Linked DNA regions of Arabidopsis thaliana. The protein of the gene in region 3 interacts with the protein of the main gene of each other region in a pairwise test. Each region holds a gene or a part of one and is shown on either strand. Other genes may lie near its edges. The genes, in order: SPL, IAA2, WSIP2 and ARF2.

Region 1 (3,688 bases), on a different chromosome or scaffold from region 3:
TTTGCATATCTGTTTTAATAAATTTAAACATCTAACTAATTTTAGCCGAACTAAAATCAATAAAAAAGCATCCCAAAAATAATTGATAAAATTTCATATTTTCTATAAATAAACAAAGCAAAATCAATCAACTTATAAAAAGAAGATAAACTCAAAATTCTCATTGGCCAATTTTTAAAGTAGTTTATACTGTACTAAATTTATAATTCTGATCCAAAACAAAACAGTACGTACCAAACACATGTATAAATTTTATAAATCGAAAACGAAGCTGTACATCCCATATGCTATGCAATGACATTAATTGGAAAAGCTATAAACAAGAGCAATTTGATACATTTATCTCACACCAGATAACAAGATTAATCAGATATGCATGACACCGTTTCGAAAACCGAGGATTAATTAGGTGATAACATGAATCATGACAGGATCATTGCCTAACTAAAGAAACACAAAATGGATACAAGCCCCAAGATCTGACACAACTTTAGAGAGAGAGAGGGAGAGAGAAGTTTCATGACAACAATTAAGGAAGAGAACAGAACATATATGTCTGAGTGTTTAGGTTAGAATCTCATAATAAACAACCAAAAGGGTAATCCAAAAGCTGAATCTTTCTTTCGACTCAGCTCTCAGATGCATACACCAAAAAAGGCTCTCTCTTTTTTTTCTTCTGTTTCTTACTTTCATCTACTTAAAATGTTTTTTCTTTAAAGAGACGATTTTGTTTAAATCAATATAGAAAGATAAAACATTTAAAGCTTCAAGGACAAATCAATGGTATTAGGACTGCAATCACCTACGAGTGACGACGTTTTAGCCACCACTGAAACTCTTTCACCATATTTCCCCGGAAAAAACTCGTACTCCTTCACACCTCCTGATCCATTTCTAGGGTTTCCTTCCATGTAGCTCCCAAATTCCTCCATTGGTCCCTAAACCCACCAGTTAAATCAAATAAGATCAACAGTTATATACATATATACCTATATATGAGTATTAATAAATGGACTATACTTAGTACCGTATGATTTGTTGCCTCGTTGAAATAAGGATTAATAGTAGTACTAGAAGCAGAAACTGAAGCTGCTCTAGCGATTCTATGATCATAAAGGAAACCTTGGCTCCTCTGATGATGATCTGATTGAAGAAGATACTGATCGTAGCCGTTCATCGGAGGAGGAATCATTGTGTATTTCGAAAATCCACCACCGTTGGATCGAACTACATTATTCTGATCACCATCCAAACGTTTCTTCTGCAGTTTTTTACATAAATAAAAATCAAAACTTTTTCAAGTGCAAAAACTATATATATATCAATCATGTTGATGAAAACGATTAAAAAACAAACAAACCTTGAAGCAAGTGTCACAGCGATTATTGGAAGAAGCGTTAAACATTTGAGGATTTGAGATTGAAGAGAGCTCATGAGTAGTGGAGGAGGTCTCAACAAAACCCCATGGAGAAATAACCGGGTCGATCATAACCTGACCCGACCCGACTCCACCACAATAGATCCTGTTGCTCCCGAGTGAGCTTGGGAAGCCTTGTAGCACAACACCCGGGTCTACCGGTACGGGTAAACGGGTAGCGTTGTTAGAGATCGATGCTACTGATGACGTGTCTCCGACTGTGGCGGCGGCGAGTTGCTTCTTTTCTTCTTCGATTCTCTGACGCTCGAGCTTTGCTACACCCATTCCTCTCAACGTTGGTTTCTTCTGTTTTTGCTGACCTGTCTTCGATCCTGGTTTCCGACCACGACTCTTCAGTGTCTCTGTCCGGATCTCGCCGGAGCTGTTGACGACAAGACGGGTGTTTCTCAGAAGATCGTTTGGGTTTCCGACGGAGTTTTGATCTGTTGACATGAAGAAGAGAGAAGTCGCCATTGATGATGATCTTCTTCTCGGAACTCTTTTTAGATAGAGAGAGAGAAGGGAAGAGGTAAAGACGAAAGCTTTAAGTGTGTGTGTTTTGTTTCTGCTCTCTTTTTGTGTGTGTGTATCTCTTTAGTGTTCATATACTAGCTCAGGCAAAGTACTTACCTGTGTTTTTATTTTCTGTTATTTCCAGGTACTATATGCGGATAAACGTATCTTTATTTCTTTTTTACTTTTTACCCCCTATAGTAGATTAAATTAAAGTATTTTTCAAAAAGATTAGTAAAGTATATCATAAATTCATAATACGTATTCTTATTTTATACTTTCTTAGTCTTATTAACCTTAGATGTTATAAATTCCCTTAGCACTTGCATGCATTTTTAACTTATGTGTGTATAGTCGTATAGATGTTCAATTTGTCAATATTAGTGGGTGTAAGTCAAGAGACGTTGAAAAAAATGCATTATTTGATGTTAATATGGTCATGAAAAGGAACAACTGAAATAAATAAAAAAGAGAGTTTGTAACTGAAAACTATGTTATATAGCATGAATGTATGATTTGATTGATGTTGTTATCCATGCATTGGATCGTGGAAGAAATTCAACATTATAGTATGATAGTTAGTTATCTTTGGTTCTGTCCATTAAATGGTATTTTTTATTCTTTCTATAATCTTCAATTACTCCTTAATTAATTAACCTACCTCTTAATATATAGAGTTTTGACTAAATAACTAGATATGGAATACTATGCTGTACATCTATAATACTAGTATCGGTGTAAAGAGTAAAGTGGGACGAATTCTCACTTTGCAACGAATATGATTAGTTTGTGAAACAGATCAAAGATATAATGATTTATAGTTTTTAAGAATTTAAAGGAGTAACAACAGAACAAGGTTTCAAATCCTTTATTTTCTTACATCTTTTGGGCGAAGAATGTAGAAAAAAAACAAAAACTCAAAGCTATTTATTTACTTGTTCCTGATAAAAAAAATCAGAGATTGTGATAATCCCTACCATGGAGACAGCAAATCGGAGATTGTCGCTACTCGCATAGGCTCAGTCGTGAGGTGAGAAACACTGTCCAATAGTAACAGCGCGTGCATCACATTGCAAAGAATATAGTACCCGCGGATCGAGGACAGGTGTCGGGACGTTAGACCATTCGCCGATTGTAGCGAGCAAGGTCTGGGACAACGTGATTTTACTCAGCTCATATCAACTAAAATAAGCAAGTCCAGTTACAGTCGCAGACTCGCAGTTATATGTATTTTTTTTTTCTTCAAAAACAAATTTTTATTTACTTTGACTAATGTGATATGTATATGAATATATGATAAATACGACGAGTAAGCTTAAAAACTCACTATACTTAGCTGACAAATAAAATACTAAATACAAAACGAAAATTAATATATTTGACATTTATTTGAAAAAGTTAGCTTTCGGTATTTGAAAAAAAAAATCGAGAGATAGTTATTGCTTCACATGAGAGGAGGACGAAAGCAAAAAGAATAGCATGAGAGACGTGAATTACGAGAAGGGTTTGGAGCTACGGAGTAGAGTAGAAATGATGGCTGCATCATATAAGGAAACATTTTAAAGCTGCCTCCATGTTAATCTTGGCTTCAGCCCAATACCTACTATTAGAAAATTTTAATTATCTTAATACAAAGTTTGTTTTATATGGATATTCTCAATACAAGTCTTAAGAGAAGCCCCACTGAAGTAATTATACATTACTATGTGTTGAGATTTCGTTTTTTTTTTATATAAATGAAGTAACCAGATGAGATGT
Region 2 (3,901 bases), 2.8 Mb from region 3:
TTTTTATTACTTGGTTCACATAATGAAAAAAACATACTTGAAAACTAGTCATTGGCGTTCGGTATTTTGGTTCAGTTCCGGTTCGAGAACTTCCCATGAGCCCTTTTGTAGTCTAAAAATCTATAATCTTAAATTGTGTTTTATTAATATTATTATGTTTTTATGTAATATTAATAACCTTTACCCTAGAAAAACTAATATTATTTTCTCAGTTTTATTATATTAAATTGTGTTTTTCAATTTCATATGTTATCAGACTTATATTATTATGTAATATTTTTTTACAATTGGTTGAATTGTTTAGGTTAGATATTAATTTCTGTTTTTAATATAACAAAATTATTACATAATAATTCTTGCAGTTTAGCTAAAACATCTAATAAGCTGAAGAGACAGAGTCATTTACAATTCATCAAAAAGAAAAATTGTTTTTGAAATCTTTTGATCGACAAGGCCTATCTATAGAATTGTGGATGTGTTTTGGGAAGGCATTATAGAAAATTTGTCTCATGTGGTGGTAAATGTTTTGCTGAATAAGTAAATAATAACCTTGGTTAAACTTTAAACAAAAAAAAAAGTTAATAAATAACCTTGGCTAAACAAATGTGTATAAGTTTCTGAAATTTAAAATATTATGTTCGTGATCAAGAACAGAAAACTGATGATCTTATAGGACATAACTACTTAATACATTATACATCTATAGATTGTGTATGTGTCCGTATTATACATAAAATCTCATGTATCTTTACATCAAACTTCAAATCTAAATACAAAAACAAAAAGAACATCACTAGAGATGGATCTCTCGTCGGACAAAACCCCGAAGTTTCGTCTTTCACGGTCAACTTTAGTCAAACTCCGATCCGAATCAAACCAAAAAGGGTTTTTCATTCATCGATCATAGTCATCATCTCCTTTTTAGACAAAAGATTCTCAGCTTCTCTGGATCATAAGGAAGAGTCTAGAGCAGGAGCGTCGGATCCCTTCATGATTCTGAGTCTCTTACAAGAAGAAGAGAACATGTCCCATGGAACATCACCAACCAACATCCAGTCACCATCTTTATCTTCGTATGTTGGTACAAATCCAGATCCTTTGTATCCTTCTCTCTCACAATATTCACCAATCATGACTTTGAACATATTCTCTAACGCTTTGAGAAGCTCGGGGTAGTTTTTGTATGTCTTGAGATCGATCTTGCGAAGGTAAGGAGCTCCGTCCATACTCACTTTCACGTAGCTCACACTGTTGTTGTTCTTACGGGAAGATCTCACTGGTGGCCAACCAACGATTTGAGTTCTGTAAATTTGAGGAAAGAAAGATTAGTAAAACTATTCAAGAGCCAATAATTTGAAAGAAGCCAATTTGAAACTCAGATCTCTTCTACTTACTTGGTAGGAGGTGTAGATTCTTCTTCATCACGAGTTTCCTCAAATAGACGCTTGTTGTTACTTTTAACGCAAGAAACCTCTTGTTCTTCTTTGATCTTCTCTGTTCTTCCGGGTAATCCAAGACATAGCTCTGTGTCCTTAAGGTTAAGCTCGTTGACTTTCTCGTACGCCATTGCTTTTGGATCAATATCAATCTTTGTGTTTCCTTCTTGTGTGTTTTCTTGGGTACTTTGTTCTTCTTGTCTTGTTCTTCTTCTTCTTGTTCTTGTTCTTGGTGAGCTGGTTGATGAGTTTTGGAGAAAAGGGGAGAGAGATATATATAAAGGAGCATCGAAGTTAGGGTTAAAGGAAGAGAGAGAAGTGTTGTCGGAAGCATGAAAGGCAAGAAAGAGGCAAGGGGACAAAAGTGGGACACGAAGCTTGAGGCCGCCCATGTGGACACGACTCTTTTGTTTAATTATTCCACGCTCCTCTTTTCCCTCCGCCAACTTTGTTTACGTTAACATCTTAGCCGTCCATCTCTATTGCCTCTTCTTTTTCTTTCAAAGGATGTATAATAATTATAACGAAAGAATATAAAAATGAATGAAATGATGAGAATTCTATCGGCCGACCCGGAATAAAAGCAAACAGAGAAAATATAAATAAAGTAAAGACTAAAGAGGTGTATTATAATAACATTTATTTACTGTTTCTTAAAGGTTTCTTCTTCTCTTTTTGAAAGTGTATAGTGCAGGTTATAAAGAAAATATCAAGTGCTAATGATTGTTAATCCATTTGTTGCATAATAGATATTCTTAATATATATTTAAATATAATGTGTTGTCTTAAAATTTGATGTGAAAGTTGATTATTATTTTTAGTTTACTTCTATTGATTTATTAATTTTTAACTTAAAAGATTAATAGATGTTTTGAAAGTATGATGTAAAAATTTCGATTCAGAAGAAAAAACGTATGGTGTAAAAAATGGTTAAAAGGACACTTATGTCAAATAAAGTACTATTTTATTGAATCCTGATTCCAAAATGAAGATTATTTAGAGTTTCCAAGTACTCTTATGTGTTACGAACTATTGAATGTGCATAAGTTGAATTTTATCATTTTTGCTCGTAGATGTAATTTGATTAATAAAGAAATATTAGTTTTATGGTTAAATCTCAGATAATATCGAATATTAAACGTTACATATTTGTCTTGCGAAGACATATTTATGCGTGGCATTTTGTATATTGTGAGTTGGAAAATGTTATAACATTTTGTGTGTAGATTTTGATTTTATAATAGGAGACGAAGACCCATGTGGATAAGGGTCAAATGTGTTGGTAATTGATAGAGGAATGGTAAAGCCATGTGCTTTCTTATGTGTATGTCTCTTTTAATTATTCATTTCCCTTCAAAATGGGTTGTGGGGGAGAGAGGTTCCACGTGCTATGTATTCATTGAATCATAAAACTTAAAAGAATGAACCAAAAAGTGGTAATTAATTTCTCCCCATAGATTACGCTTAACTATGTGCATTTAGCTTCTAATCCGCATGCGATTTGATGTTAACGTTAGGCTTTATTCAATGGATTTACCAATTTTGGATATTATTTGTTTTCTCTTCTTTTAAGATAAAGATTCCTTCTATGTTCTTGCCCCTTCCATCACCAAAAGATTAGATAAGTAAAAGCGATGCAAGATACGTTGCCTCTCTTCTTATAAGTAAATAATTTAGAGGTTCTGATTGTCAGAGTTTTATGTATTATTTCCAGTTAATAACGAACTCATGCAATGTATTTTCTCACAAACTGAGAGATGCACGAATGAATACCATTTGTCTGTTAAATATTGCACGAATGAATACTAAAGGTTAACCATTTACAGATTTCTAGAATCACTTAACATGGTGGGAAACAAACTTCTTGAGAATAGTTTTTTCCTGTTTGTGTGTTCATGCATGTTTTAGTCTTAGTGAAAATGTATTATAGAAACATAACTACTAGATCTATGTGATGCTTTATGCTTATATAGATGATTGCTAAAGTTATTTGTTGGTTAAACTAAACCTTTTTACTGAAAACCATTTAAGAAAGTACAAGAGAATTCAGTTACTGTTTATTATGGAGTTAATTCCATGAATATATATTGAACATTAAGTTTTGCCTAAAAAACAATATTGAACTTAAGCCAAATACATAAATCATTTTTAGATTATTTTGGTCTCTGTGGTCAATTTAATGTATTAATTTATGTACTGAATCAACAGTTGTTTGTTCTTTTATGTTAATATTTGATATTTTTTACTCTACAAGGACTACAGATTCTGATGACAATTTTAACGTACATATCTTGAAGAGGTACGTGAATAACTATATGAACTAGCTAATAGATTCTTAATTTTTTTTGGTTAGAAATATTAACCGTGTTTTAATTATCATGGTAAAAATGTTAATTATTTTCTACTTTAATTTCTCGTTTATTCAAAAAAAAAAAGTATGTCATATATGAACAATTTTGAAATTT
Region 3 (5,044 bases):
ACAGTTTAATAGAACAAGTCTGAGTAGCTCTAATTTCGTCTCGATGTGAGATTGATAAACAGAGAGAGAGAGAGACAGAAGTACAAGTAGACTATTTATTTTGTTCTTTTTTATTATTTTTGCACACTTTTTTTTTTTTTTGCTCGCATAAAATAAACAAATTTTAAAAATATATATATAGTATTAAAAAAGAAGCTGATATGGAAAAGTCATAAACAATAAATAAAACTTTAACCAAAAGAAGAATAAAATTTTTGAACGTTAGTATCCGTTGTATAAAAGTGTATATATTAAGTTCCAACTGTATTTTTTTCTCATATCTATTTATTTATTTTTCCTTTTTATTATATGTGTCGTTTTAAAGTTTTTGTTTTACTCTTCTGTAATGTATTATACAGAAATAACATAATTATAAATAAGCTGGATTTTACCAATTATTTAATATAAAACGGAAAGGGTATGTTGTTGAAGATACTTGATGTTTTAAAATTTGAAGTTGTTGTAGTCATTGTTAAGGGTCGGCTGATGAGTCAGGACAACTCATTGAAACCATTTATTCGATGTTTCAAATATTAAACAAATAGACAGAAGATTCTACTATCTTCTTCAAAAATATAATATTAAACACAAGTCTTTGTTTCTTTGCTAGCTCTAGTTACAGAAATTTTGAATTAAAGCTATGAAAATAACTTTACGTTTAGTAAATTGCTAAAATATTCAGAGCGATCAGAAAGGAATGTTTGCTCTCTCATCTTAAAATTATATATTTGAGGTGATGCTTCTTCACCAACATGGGCAGATGGGCTTATGGAACCATTTGCTGATTAATTGCAGTCATTGATAACTGTCTGGGTGTGTCATTGTCATCAAAGTGATTGTTCAAGGAAAACATGTTTGGGACGAAATTGATTCCCAATCATGTTTAGCAATTGGGCCAGTCAATTCCCCCGATAATCTAGACCTAAAAGCCCAAACCAATGTAAGCAATACTGGTGTAGGAATACTTGTAAGAAGATTTGATATGACTCCTACTAGAACCATAATGTGGATGGACTGTTGAAGTAGCATAGTAATTACTAGCCAAAACATCCATGGGAAAAAAAATAAAGTACAAATATAAATTTTGATTTTTTTTTTTTTTATAAATAGAACAAAACTAAACATGTGAATAGGCCATATCTCTTAAATTCCTAACAAATTAGCATAATATATTCACGGAAATGCGTTACAAACCGTATTATAGAATAAAACTCCACTTTTTACTGTGAATTACTATAACAAAAAAGAAAGAATACACATTTGTAAAATTCACTTATTTGTTACCACATAAGATTTATATTTTTCCAAAAGTAAATTATCCATAAAACCTTTAATTTGTTTTTTTGACAATAAAAGATGAAGAAAATAAAATTTAATTAATTTGCGTACTACATAACTGGAAATAAAAATATCACATCTGATTTACTGCTATTCTTCTCTAAATTAAAAACTTCAAAATCCATTACTTAAATAATTAATTCATAAAAAAAATATTTGCAATATTAATTGACGGTTAGTTGATGTCATAAAAATAATATAATGGCACTAAATTCTATACAGAAACAGAAATAAACCAATTATGAGATACTCTACTTTAATGTATAGTTTGAAAAACAAAAAAAAATCCCCAGCTACGTTCAAAACCTAACGAGAGAGCATTAAATTAGACAGCAGTGTTGTACTAGATTCGCAACAACATCAATACGTCACTTAAATTAAAATAAAATACGAAAACATTAAATTAAAATAAATTTTAGAAAAAGTAATTAAAACGAAGGTTACTTATTATAGTGGGGAGATTAAGCTTTTTGAGTAAATTCCTATCTACAAAATACACGCTTCTATTAAAAAAAATAGAAGCCCAACGACCACACAAAAACAAATTAATTAAATCATAAAAACTCATAAATTAAAATAAAAAGCAATAAATCCAAAAAAAAAAAAAGGAAACTCCGAAAACGAGACAGCATCAGAAATTATCGCCATAAATAGCCCCCACGTCTCTCTCTCTCTCTTCTCCAAAGTCTTCTTCTTCTTCTTCTTCTTCTTCCTCTTCTTCCTCTCTGCTTTGTCTCTCTCCTTCTTCAAAGTCAAAATTCAACAGGTATTTATATTTATAAACTTTCCTTTTTTTCTTTAATCTCTTTCTCGGGAGCCTCTCTCGTATATTCTCGCACGTGCACATCTCGTGCCACCTGGGTTTGGGGGGATTCGTCTTTCGAATTCGATCGATTTCGTTTTTTTTTTTAGATCTGTCTTTCCTTTTTTGGGGTGTGAAGAAGATGTTTTCTTTTATAAAACCCTAATTCTCTCTTTGTGTCTTTGTGTTTGATTAGTGGTTCATGAGTGGTATTGTGATCGATCTGTTACTTTCGGAGAGCGAGCAATAAGAAGAGGATATGTCGTCACTCAGCAGAGAACTCGTGTTTTTAATACTTCAGTTTCTCGATGAAGAGAAATTCAAAGATACTGTTCACAGGTAATTTATATTATATCATTGTTTAATTGCGGTCCCTCTTCCTTTGATTGTCGGGATTAGAGTAAAGTAGGGATTAAGATTAATTAATTTTGATTTTGTAATTTAGCATTATTTCTTCAATGTTAATCCAGAAGCAGTTACAACTTTGGATATTTTTTTTGACTAATTAGGTTGGAGAAAGAGTCTGGTTTTTTCTTCAACATGAGGTACTTTGAAGATAGTGTAACAGCTGGTGAATGGGATGATGTAGAGAAGTATCTTTCTGGATTCACTAAAGTTGATGATAATAGATACTCTATGAAAATATTTTTCGAGATTCGGAAGCAGAAGTACCTTGAAGCACTTGACAAGTAAAGTTTCACTTGTGTTGTTTAGTTTTATTGAATTGAAGTGTGGTTTTGAGTATTGATTTGTTTTCCCATCTTTTGTTTTACCATAGGAAAGATCATGCCAAGGCGGTTGATATTCTTGTTAAGGAGTTGAAAGTGTTCTCGACATTCAACGAAGAGCTTTTTAAGGAGATTACCATGCTTTTAACCTTGACTAACTTCAGGTACATTCTTTACTTTCTTAGCACTTTTTTTTTATGGTTTCATTGACCACTGGATTGTTATAAACCATGCGCTTGTGGTGTTGATGTTTCATTTACTTGCAATAATTCAAGGGAAAATGAGCAGCTTTCCAAGTATGGAGATACTAAGTCCGCAAGAGGTATCATGCTTGGGGAACTTAAAAAACTGATTGAAGCAAATCCTCTCTTCCGAGACAAACTTCAATTTCCCAGTTTGAAGAATTCTAGATTGAGAACCTTAATAAATCAAAGGTACAAGCTTTGTTTTTTTAACTTTTGCTCCCGTTTTTCTTTTGGTGGAACAACTAACTGAACGTTGCTTCTGCTGAATCATAGTTTGAACTGGCAACATCAGCTTTGCAAGAATCCTAGGCCTAACCCGGATATAAAAACACTATTTGTTGACCATACGTGTGGGCATCCCAATGGTGCACACACTCCTTCCCCTACAACTAATCATTTAATGGGTTCAGTCCCTAAAGTTGGAGGCTTCCCACCATTAGGTGCTCACGGTGTAAGTTGCTCTAAGATTACAGCTTCTGTTGGATTAGTTTTTAGCACATGAATTTAACTTTGCTAGTTTGTATGCTCTTGTTCAGCCATTTCAGCCAACACCAGCTCCTCTTACAACATCTCTTGCAGGATGGATGCCTAATCCATCGGTACAACACCCTACTGTTTCCGCTGGGCCTATCGGCTTAGGTGCCCCCAACAGTGCTGGTAATGTTGTCCCTACTAATTTTATTCTTCTGAAATATGTGTGTTGGAGATTTAGTTTACCAAATATTAGCTTATACGGTTATGTAATTTGCCATCCCTTGTTTAGATCATCATTAGTTGGATGGTTATCTGTGCTTCTTTGACTGACTGAACTGCATGAAATGATATAAATATATTTACTGAGTTACATTTTCCAGAGCTGTAGTGGTAAACTGTCTCTCTTTTCTTTTACGGACTAAAGCAGTTTTTAGTGGTAAACTGTCTCTATGGTGGATTAGAGAGAGAGAGAGAACTATATGCTCATATCAGCCGTTTTGTTTAATTTCACAATACTCTTGTTTATAGATAATAGATAGAGAAGCAAACATTTAATTTAATGTCAGATAGCCTTGAAGTGCTGTCTTAGGTCTGAAACTTTTATTTATTTCATTTTTTGTAGTCCATAACGTGGAGATCAGTTTGTGTGTGTTTACCAATTGCATAGCTTACCATAATCTATTTATTCTTCTTTTTTTCCTTGCAGTGTCTATGTTAAAGCGTGAGCGTCCCAGGAGTCCTCCAACTAATAGCCTATCAATGGATTATCAGACGGCAGATTCTGAAAGTGTGTTGAAGAGACCCAGACCTTTTGGTATTTCAGATGGGGTATTAACGGCTGCTTGTTCGTTTTTCAGCTTAAGTTCTCAACTTTTCTTAGAAGTCACAACTTTCTTTGAACATTTTACAGGTTAATAATCTTCCAGTCAATGTCTTGCCAGTCACATATCCAGGGCAAAGCCATGCTCATGCAACTTATTCTACTGATGACTTGCCCAAAAACGTTAGCAGGATTTTGAGTCAGGGTTCTGCCATTAAGAGCATGGATTTTCATCCAGTACAGCAAACTATGCTCCTTGGTTGGTTTTCTCCTCTGAAGCACGCATCATTCTTCTGTTTTATTCTGGTTTATGCCAGAGAAACCTGCAAAACTTGTATCAGACAGCATAACTTTCATCTTCTCAGTACAATCTGCTTACTTTATCTTGGATTTACATTTGTTTCCTAGTTGGCACCAATCTTGGTGATATTGCAATATGGGAGGTGGGTAGCAGGGAGAAGCTCGTTTCTAGAAGCTTTAAAGTTTGGGATCTTGCTACTTGCACTGTGAACCTTCAGGTATAGTTCCTCTTTATTGATCTACTGTAACAGTCGAATGAGGTGGGAGATTTGTTGTTAGTTAGTTAAAACTATACAGA
Region 4 (7,647 bases), on a different chromosome or scaffold from region 3:
ACTATATGTGTCGATGGTAGAATTACAAGGAGCTAGAGAACCACTTATTTAACTATGCAGTTTTGTATTGTTGTAAGATAATGGCATAAACTGATACAATTGAAAGTTTTTCCATAAACTCAGCAAGTTTGATAAAATGTTTGTTGTGTTTCTGTGACGATTGAGATTGTCGGCTTAAGGCGGTAGTATGCCAGAGTTGCCGGTGTTGTGTGTTTCATATGGTTTAAAGTCTTGATTTAGATAGAGTTCTACCTAAATACAAGTTTGGTTATGAAGAGCCATATGATAGAATGAAACCATAGATCACGAAACTTTGATCATGTGTTTGCCATGGTGTCATCTTTCTGTTTTTCAGCGGATTCGTTTATATGGACATGAGCATAGCTAGAGAAATAAACTTGAAAACCCAAACCTTGTTTTCCTCATTGTTACAAGGGAAACAACAAATTTTAGCATCCAGTTTTTTTTTCAAAGTACTTTAAAAAGAGGGCTCACTGTTTTGCTCATTGCAAGCTTAATTTTCAGATTGTAGCTAGAAACATCCGAATTTATTTAATGTAAGGATTCGAAATGGAATCCGTTTGTTAAGAGGTCTTACAGTTTCGTGAATATATCTATATCACCGTCTAATACGAAAAGCTGCAAAATACCGACAAGACCAGACCAAAACCAAAAGTCAGCAAGAGAATAAGTTGAGAAAATGTGAATCGACAAGATAATTAAAAAAGGGCAAGAGCTTGAAAACTTATGTACATTGGGATTAATATAAACAATAAAAAGACTTCAAGAGATCTTTGGAAGAAGGAAAAAAATACATCCATAAAAAGAACCGATACCAGCCTCCGACTACAACTCCACACCATCATATTCTACTTATAAAAGAGCTTTTCATATTCTACTATATAATACCTGTAACCTTTTTATGTTTTACTTTATAATATCTATTAATTATTATTAGATAGATAATAAGGGTGATGGAAGATGCTAATTATCTAAGTGGCCAACAAAATACTTCAAAAATTGCATTTTTAATATCTTATCTTAAACCCATCATCCCATTTTGCTCTCCAGTCTCCACCAATCGACCCCCATCCTGCTGTCATTAACAGAACAAACATCAGTCGAATGTAATGACATAAACTTTTGGCTGTGTCTCTAGTCTACTAATATCTCAAAAGCTTTTACATACCTCGGCTTGCAGCAAAAGGGTTGTTGGTTATTTTGTTTGTTTAAGAGTTCCCAGCGCTGGACAATGAAGGATTTGATGCAGACTTGGCGTCCTTTGCATCTGATCCTTCCCCAACAACTGCTTCTTCCTCGCTCCTACAGCTTAAAGTCCCCGGGTTCATCTTCCTCACTTCCTCTTTCGTGTATATGAAGATTTTGCGAACCATGCAACAAAACTCCCTGCAAGAGAGATCATTGTGTCAGTGTTATAAGAAAAACACTAACATCGATATAAACTAAGATGGAAAATTTGCAAAATCTTACTGCCAAGGATCGTCACCAACAAGCATCATATCATTCTCTTCATCTGTGTAAACTATCAACCAATCTTTCTTAGGAGCCATCAACTCTCCATTGAACTCAAACAGCCTGTCCAGCTCAGCGACTAACTCCTCATAGTTTTGGAACTTTGAAAGATCCACTGAACGGCCAAGTGCAATTCCCTGCTTGTGAACCTTTACATCAATGTGTCATGTGTTAGTTGAAAAGTGATTCAAGGGTTATCACAACCTCATACACTTTGTGCTACATATTGCAAAAATTTACCTTTGTGCAACTCCTACTTGAGTTGGTTTTCGTTTGAGCATCCTTCGGATGAGGATTATTAGTCTGGAATGGTCTTCCCTGTTCACGATGATCGTTTGTTGATTTTGACCCTTTTGACTGATCTGAAAGGTCCTGAACCTTTGGTGATGCTATCTGTGTAAGCCCCGCAGCATCATTCAAGTTGTTTCTCTGAGACATGGTTGAGTCTGTCCCATTCATGTTGTTGGTCAGAGGAATGCCAAAGAGCCTGCAGTTCCCTTCTCTTGACTTTGCTGTCTCCTCTTGTATCGTGAAGGGTTGTTTTGTTACTTGCTCCCTAGCCTGAGCTTGCGCTTGAGCATTGACCACTTCCTCATAATAATTCAAAGCACGTGGACGTATTGGCCAGTTACCACCAGCATTCTCAGTCGATAGACCATTAAGAACAGGATATTCGCTGTATTTAACATTGCATCGCCCTTGGAGAGACGCATCAGTTGCTGCAGGTACCTTAGGAGATTCATGTAACTTCAGGGAGAGACCAGAGTGTATCATCTGCCACTGGTTAGCAAGATAATCGAACTTGCCTTCTGAATCACTCAAGATTCTCTTTGCAGGCATAGAAGGTGATGATGAATGGTCATAAAAAGGTATCCGCTGACCATGGGATGGATCTATGTTAGTCCCAAAGCCGGAGAGCAAATCTGTGTAAGTAGGTTCATGCCTGGCTGAGGACATCCAGTTCTCAGATCCATATCTTCTAGAACCCGAAACCACGTCAACCTTATCATCATCCGCTGAAGATTGCCAGACAACAGAATTCTCAGGAGCATCACACTCTACACTCTCAGTATGTTTCGTCCTCAAGGTCGAGTATTCTTGACCTTGCAAGACCCTTGAAAGTCCGCTTGCTGGTAAAGGGTCCATGTTTGCCTTAGTTGTACCTGTTTTGTGTACAATGAATTAGACTCCCACTGACAAGTTCAATTAAGTTTCAGACGCACTACTATGTGTACTACAGTGGAAGGGGAAGACATTACCTTCTCTGGTAAGCATCGAAGAGTCAGGAGATGAAGGTGCTATATTTGATCTGGGCCTCTTAGGCCTAGGCATTGGAACAGGACTCAAAGCAGGAGGAGCAAGAGCTGGCTCTACTTTCCACGGAGATACTCTATCAGGTCGAGGAATACTAGAAGTCTCATCCCATCTCACCTGAAAGACAATTGAACAATCAGCATTCATTATATTCAAACAATAGTCTTGATCCTCTCTAGAAACTAGGTCATACCTTGAGGGATCTCCACTTTGATTTTGGCCACCTAGTAGGATCAGACTCTTCAATCCCAACGATTGTGCCAGTAAACCTAATATAAATCAATACAACTTGTTAGGTTCGTTATTCCAAGAGAAAAAGGCTCAAGAGCTAACATATTTCAAAAGCAGAAGACAGGTTTTACCTCTGCTCAGGAGCCTCTTCGCCTTCAAATCTCATTTTGAATCTCATGCCAATAGAGTAGTTATTCTTAACAGACTCCATATACTGATCGAACGGAACAATAAACTCAGATGGGCTCGTCCTGTATTAAACAAAACAACACCGCATGAAAATTTAGTAGAGTGATTCACTACCAAGCATCAGACATATAGAGACATACAAAGCAAAGAGCTCAAAAAACTGAAAGCTGTTTTGTGAGCTAATACAAATACAAACCTGGGTTTGTAGTAGACTGTAAACATAGTCCCTGTTGAAATGGCATGCCATGCGGTGGCCAGTACTCCAAGATGCATGCTATGGCTAGATATAACAGAAGACGGCACGTTTCCTTGTTGTCGCATCGCACGCCTTACACCAACTCTTAATTCTCCATTCTCGCCCCTGTAGAAGATTAAGATATTCCACATTATAGAAACTAACAGATACAGCTAAAGAAAACAATGAACTAAAATCCACAAACCTTAGAAATATAAACGCATCGCCTGCAACTAGCCTTTTGGAGCTAACAAACACACTCCACCCACTCTGTAGCAAATGCCTCCGTGGTTGACCTGGTCCATTATCACAAACATCAACAACCAGATAAGTTTGATGACACACAGACTCGAGAAAAACAGAAAATAAAAAAGTTACAGATTCCTATACCCCGGAATATATGTCTGAATCGCCACTCATTTGCATGCAAATCCTTTGCAACTAACTCTTGAGTGGGAGGCTGTCGAGACATATCCTGAGGGAAGAAACAAAAAATGAATTGAAGGCAATCTTAGAACAAAATTCAGGAAAAATAAGCCAATGAATAGATAGTTAGAAGCGCAAATGAAACACCAACCAGAGGTGGGAGACATTCATCCGCATGTCGCCTAAGAACAGAAAATCCACCATGTGTACTTGTGTCGGATGCAGTCAAGGTTTTGCAGAACGAATGCACCTGGAACCTCGGAGGTGGAGGAAGAGGCGCTTCTTTCTCAATTGCATTCTCGTCTTGCTGTATGGAACAAAAAATATATAGAATTCAGCATCTTGAAGAATAAGATCACCTCTACAACACTCAAACCAATAAATCAGAAAACAAAACTTACATTAGCCTCAGGAAGAAGAGTAATCTGCGCATAAACTTCATCTGTATCTGCCTCTGCCTGTAAAATCATAAACAAAACTCTTGTTAGCTGACAATCCAAGACACAGAAACCAAAATTTTCCAAGAAGTTAAAGAAACCTACCTTTAAATCTACATTAATAACTCGACAGAGAAGCTTTGACGGAAGATCATAGAGAGGCATCTGTTGTTCTGCCGCCTGGTTCGTCGAAGCCTCCACCTAATCATAAAACAATGGAAACCGACAAAGTTCATTAGAAAATATCTCAACAGGTACGAATCACAGAGGGGTTAACTCAAAGATTTAGCCAAAAATAGCAAGAACTCATAGATGAAATATCTCACCTGCTCGATGTGTCCTTGAGGAAAATAGAAGACTCGGTCGTCTTGTCTAGGAACCGTCACAAGCGGACCAGCACAAGCGTGCCATAGCTCTCTGTAAAGAGCAGCCTCAGGGTCCACTATGAAGACGAAGAAGAAGAAGATAAATTAGATCAAGTCAGTCTGTAACCAAAACCAAGCTTAAGAAACCCTAAGAAACGGAGACTTACAAGCACGCTCAGCCGCAGCGGATCGGGTAGAATTACTTTTTTGCCCCTCGCCGGCGACGGAGACATTTCTAGTCTCCTTAGGGTCACTAAAACCAGAGGAGGAGAAGTTATCTCCTCCACGATTACCTTTCATTGAAACCTCCGAACTCGCCATACCTTCCGAAGCTCAGATCTGTTTCATCTGGTACCAAATAAGCCTCTAAGCAGACGATATCAACAAGAAATCTCCAAATCCGTCTCTGAAAAAGCTCAAAACTCGCTTCGGTAGTCCACTTGATTCCTTCCTTTGTCTTTATCTCACTAACAAACACAATCACCACTAGTTTAGCTCCTTGACATTACTCGATAAAACTATCAGAGAAGATAAACCCTAGAATCAAACGATAAAACCACCAATTTCACCTCAAATTGCCTCCGATTTAGAGATACGACAACTCCAAAGCTCTCTCTCTCTCTCTCTCGCCGTCCTCGCTAGTCTAGGCTTTATCGGAGTCACAGACGCTTGAATACCGACGACGAGCGATTTTCTCTTGTTTTGTCTCTCAGAGTTTGTCTCTCTAACATTCTCTCTCTTTTTATTTCTTCGTCTTTCCTATCCTTTTGTTTTTCTGGGTATGAGGCGACCAATGGGCTTAACCAGAGGTAGTCAAAACTCAGCTTCAATCATTTCAACCGCGGTAAACTTCTAACCCATATGGATAACCGGCATTCACCGGTTACCATTCCCTCTTTCATACCGGCTATTACCGGTTGTAACCATTTCCGGGGGACCAGGGTCTGCGACCTCACAAAACCAAAGACAAGTGACGATTTTATTTTCTTTCCTCCACTTTTTCTTATTTTTTAATAAAGCCTTTTCAATAGAAAAAATTGACATATCCTTTTCTAAAATTTAATTTTTTAAAAAACAAATTGGAGAAGATAAATTGAAGAAAAGACCCAAATTGCAGACATTTCCAAGTCGTATTTCCCCAGAAATATAGCAATTTAAGTCATCCTAAAATTGTTGACCAAAACAATTCTTGAAAAAACTATGGTCTGGTAGTATTTATTTACTGGTGACTGTGAGTTGAATACTTTTATTTATTTACAGTTACTGTGAGTTGAAAAATAAATACTCAAGTTGCCAAAAAAAATCCATTAGGGGAGAAAATAAATTAAATGTGTAGAGGGGATTAGCAAGTAAGAAAGGCTGCTTTACTTTTTTAGATGGGACTAACGGCGTCAACAAGTCGTGAGCAAGCGTCAACTTTTGATTGGGTAAAGAGGATAACGGTGTTTGGGAAAGAGAGCGTCAATGGGAAAGGTGTTGTGTTTTTATTGGGAAGTGGCTTTGTCGTGCTGTGAACAGGCAGGTCTGGGTGGACGTAGAGAGAACGAGAGAGGGAGAAAAATGCTACGTGGCACCAGAAAAATATGTGCATTTTAGCATTTTAAAGATATTTCGGATGTCATTTTCTATGGTCTTTTGGCTATCGTGCGCCTCTAGGAATTTTCGTCTCGTGAATCTCTCGTACTTTAATTTACCCTGTTTTTCTTTTTATGGAAAAACAAAGACGTTTCATTATCTGTTTTTTATTTTCTCTAATTCAATTACAACTCAGATATATAAAAGATCGTCGAATATTATACGAACCTCAACCATATTTATGATATCCTGATGGCAGAACAAAAAATACGAAGCCTTAACAGTCATTCGATAGTTATTTTAAACTAGTAGTTGATTTTATCTAAAATCATTTGCTGAACAACTAAATTAACTCTTGGATTACCACTTAATACAGCTGGCTAATGGGATGAATCTGCTTCAAAAATTAAATTTCCGTATGCCCCGTCATAATTACATATTTACATATATTGTTGTAAGTGGAAGCGTTAAAAAGGAAGAAAATCTGGTTTATAGACAAGAGTTTATTGTAGTCCACTCATACAGCTGGCAAATAAGATTAATTAGTGTTCCTAAAAAAAAATTAAGTCCAAATTACGAATGAATTAAATCAACCTTTTTCTTTTATAGTAGTATCTACTAAAACGTTGGCCATGTTCTTTTGTTGATTGCTGCGTCAGCTACCTGCGACCCAAAAAAAGTTCTCATCTCTTTTTCACTTTCATTTCTCATTTTTTTCATCTCTGCCGCATCGACTGTAATTCGGCCATTCCGTAGACGCTGGAATTTTCAGCGTCTCAAATTCCCTTTCTCCTATCTCTTCAGATCTGTCGCTGCGACTCTTTCATTCATCTCACCTTCATCTCTCTTTCTTTTTTTCTTTATATTTTATACCGTCGGTGCTTGTCGCAGCGATAAACAAAAGAACAAGGTAAATATCAAATAACTAATCGCGACAAAACTTTTTATTTTCTTCTAATTATTATATATCGTTTAATATTTAACACACGCACACTATTTTGCACAAATTATTTTTAACAACACGTAAACTATCTCTCTGTGAAACACAAAATCTATTGCAAAATTACAAACCATGAAAATCAAATTTGGAAAAAAAAAAAAATCAGGATAACGATGGAAAATAAAAAAGAAGACTGTTCAGCAATAAGCCAATAACACGTCACACGCGATATGACAAGGAAAACGAGACGATACAATATTGAGAGGAAAAGGACGAGAAAATGGGGAGAGGAAATTCACGTGTTGGTAACGCACTTGCTAAGAGGTGTGGGACCCAAGAGTACTGTGTAGCATTTGTGTGTGGTCTAAAAGCAACCATTGTAGGAATCTTTGTCCGTTAAAA

The links.
Region 1: the proteins of WSIP2 (region 3) and SPL interact in a two-hybrid assay, tested with the Arabidopsis thaliana proteins (2 studies listed by BioGRID).
Region 2: the proteins of WSIP2 (region 3) and IAA2 interact in a two-hybrid assay, tested with the Arabidopsis thaliana proteins (one study listed by BioGRID).
Region 4: the proteins of WSIP2 (region 3) and ARF2 interact in a two-hybrid assay, tested with the Arabidopsis thaliana proteins (one study listed by BioGRID).

What each region holds. Positions count from the first base shown.
Region 1 is NC_003075.7:13,681,569-13,685,256, forward strand, and holds SPL (sporocyteless (SPL)), read right to left. Parts: upstream 2,027-3,688; 5' UTR 1,892-2,026; coding exon 1,361-1,891; intron 1,262-1,360; coding exon 1,028-1,261; intron 939-1,027; coding exon 759-938; 3' UTR 510-758; downstream 1-509. UniProt on the Arabidopsis thaliana protein: Transcriptional regulator of sporocyte development. Acts as an adapter-like transcriptional repressor recruiting TPL/TPR corepressors to inhibit TCP transcription factors. Required for nucellus and embryo sac development.
Region 2 is NC_003074.8:8,180,119-8,184,019, forward strand, and holds IAA2 (indole-3-acetic acid inducible 2), read right to left. Parts: upstream 1,978-3,901; 5' UTR 1,829-1,977; coding exon 1,395-1,828; intron 1,303-1,394; coding exon 951-1,302; 3' UTR 528-950; downstream 1-527. UniProt on the Arabidopsis thaliana protein: Aux/IAA proteins are short-lived transcriptional factors that function as repressors of early auxin response genes at low auxin concentrations.
Region 3 is NC_003074.8:5,369,264-5,374,307, reverse strand, and holds the start of WSIP2 (WUS-interacting protein 2), read left to right. Parts: upstream 1-2,018; 5' UTR 2,019-2,143; exon of another isoform or gene 2,144-2,375; 5' UTR 2,376-2,438; coding exon 2,439-2,518; intron 2,519-2,688; coding exon 2,689-2,868; intron 2,869-2,957; coding exon 2,958-3,071; intron 3,072-3,182; coding exon 3,183-3,341; intron 3,342-3,425; coding exon 3,426-3,603; intron 3,604-3,688; coding exon 3,689-3,809; intron 3,810-4,332; coding exon 4,333-4,454; intron 4,455-4,536; coding exon 4,537-4,705; intron 4,706-4,854; coding exon 4,855-4,964; intron 4,965-5,044. UniProt on the Arabidopsis thaliana protein: Transcription corepressor of Zinc finger transcription factors GAF1/IDD2 and ENY/IDD1 in regulation of gibberellin homeostasis and signaling.
Region 4 is NC_003076.8:24,908,263-24,915,909, reverse strand, and holds ARF2 (auxin response factor 2), read right to left. Parts: upstream 5,720-7,647; 5' UTR 5,300-5,719; exon of another isoform or gene 5,198-5,299; 5' UTR 5,052-5,197; coding exon 4,898-5,051; intron 4,808-4,897; coding exon 4,692-4,807; intron 4,567-4,691; coding exon 4,471-4,566; intron 4,387-4,470; coding exon 4,330-4,386; intron 4,236-4,329; coding exon 4,080-4,235; intron 3,978-4,079; coding exon 3,893-3,977; intron 3,799-3,892; coding exon 3,708-3,798; intron 3,629-3,707; coding exon 3,464-3,628; intron 3,330-3,463; coding exon 3,210-3,329; intron 3,117-3,209; coding exon 3,041-3,116; intron 2,965-3,040; coding exon 2,793-2,964; intron 2,697-2,792; coding exon 1,774-2,696; intron 1,683-1,773; coding exon 1,492-1,682; intron 1,408-1,491; coding exon 1,230-1,407; 3' UTR 1,190-1,229; intron 1,097-1,189; exon of another isoform or gene 1,094-1,096; coding exon of another isoform or gene 1,037-1,093; 3' UTR 515-1,036; downstream 1-514. Other genes in the region: AT5G61997 (uncharacterized protein), read left to right, coding at 7,526-7,645. UniProt on the Arabidopsis thaliana protein: Auxin response factors (ARFs) are transcriptional factors that bind specifically to the DNA sequence 5'-TGTCTC-3' found in the auxin-responsive promoter elements (AuxREs). Could act as transcriptional activator or repressor.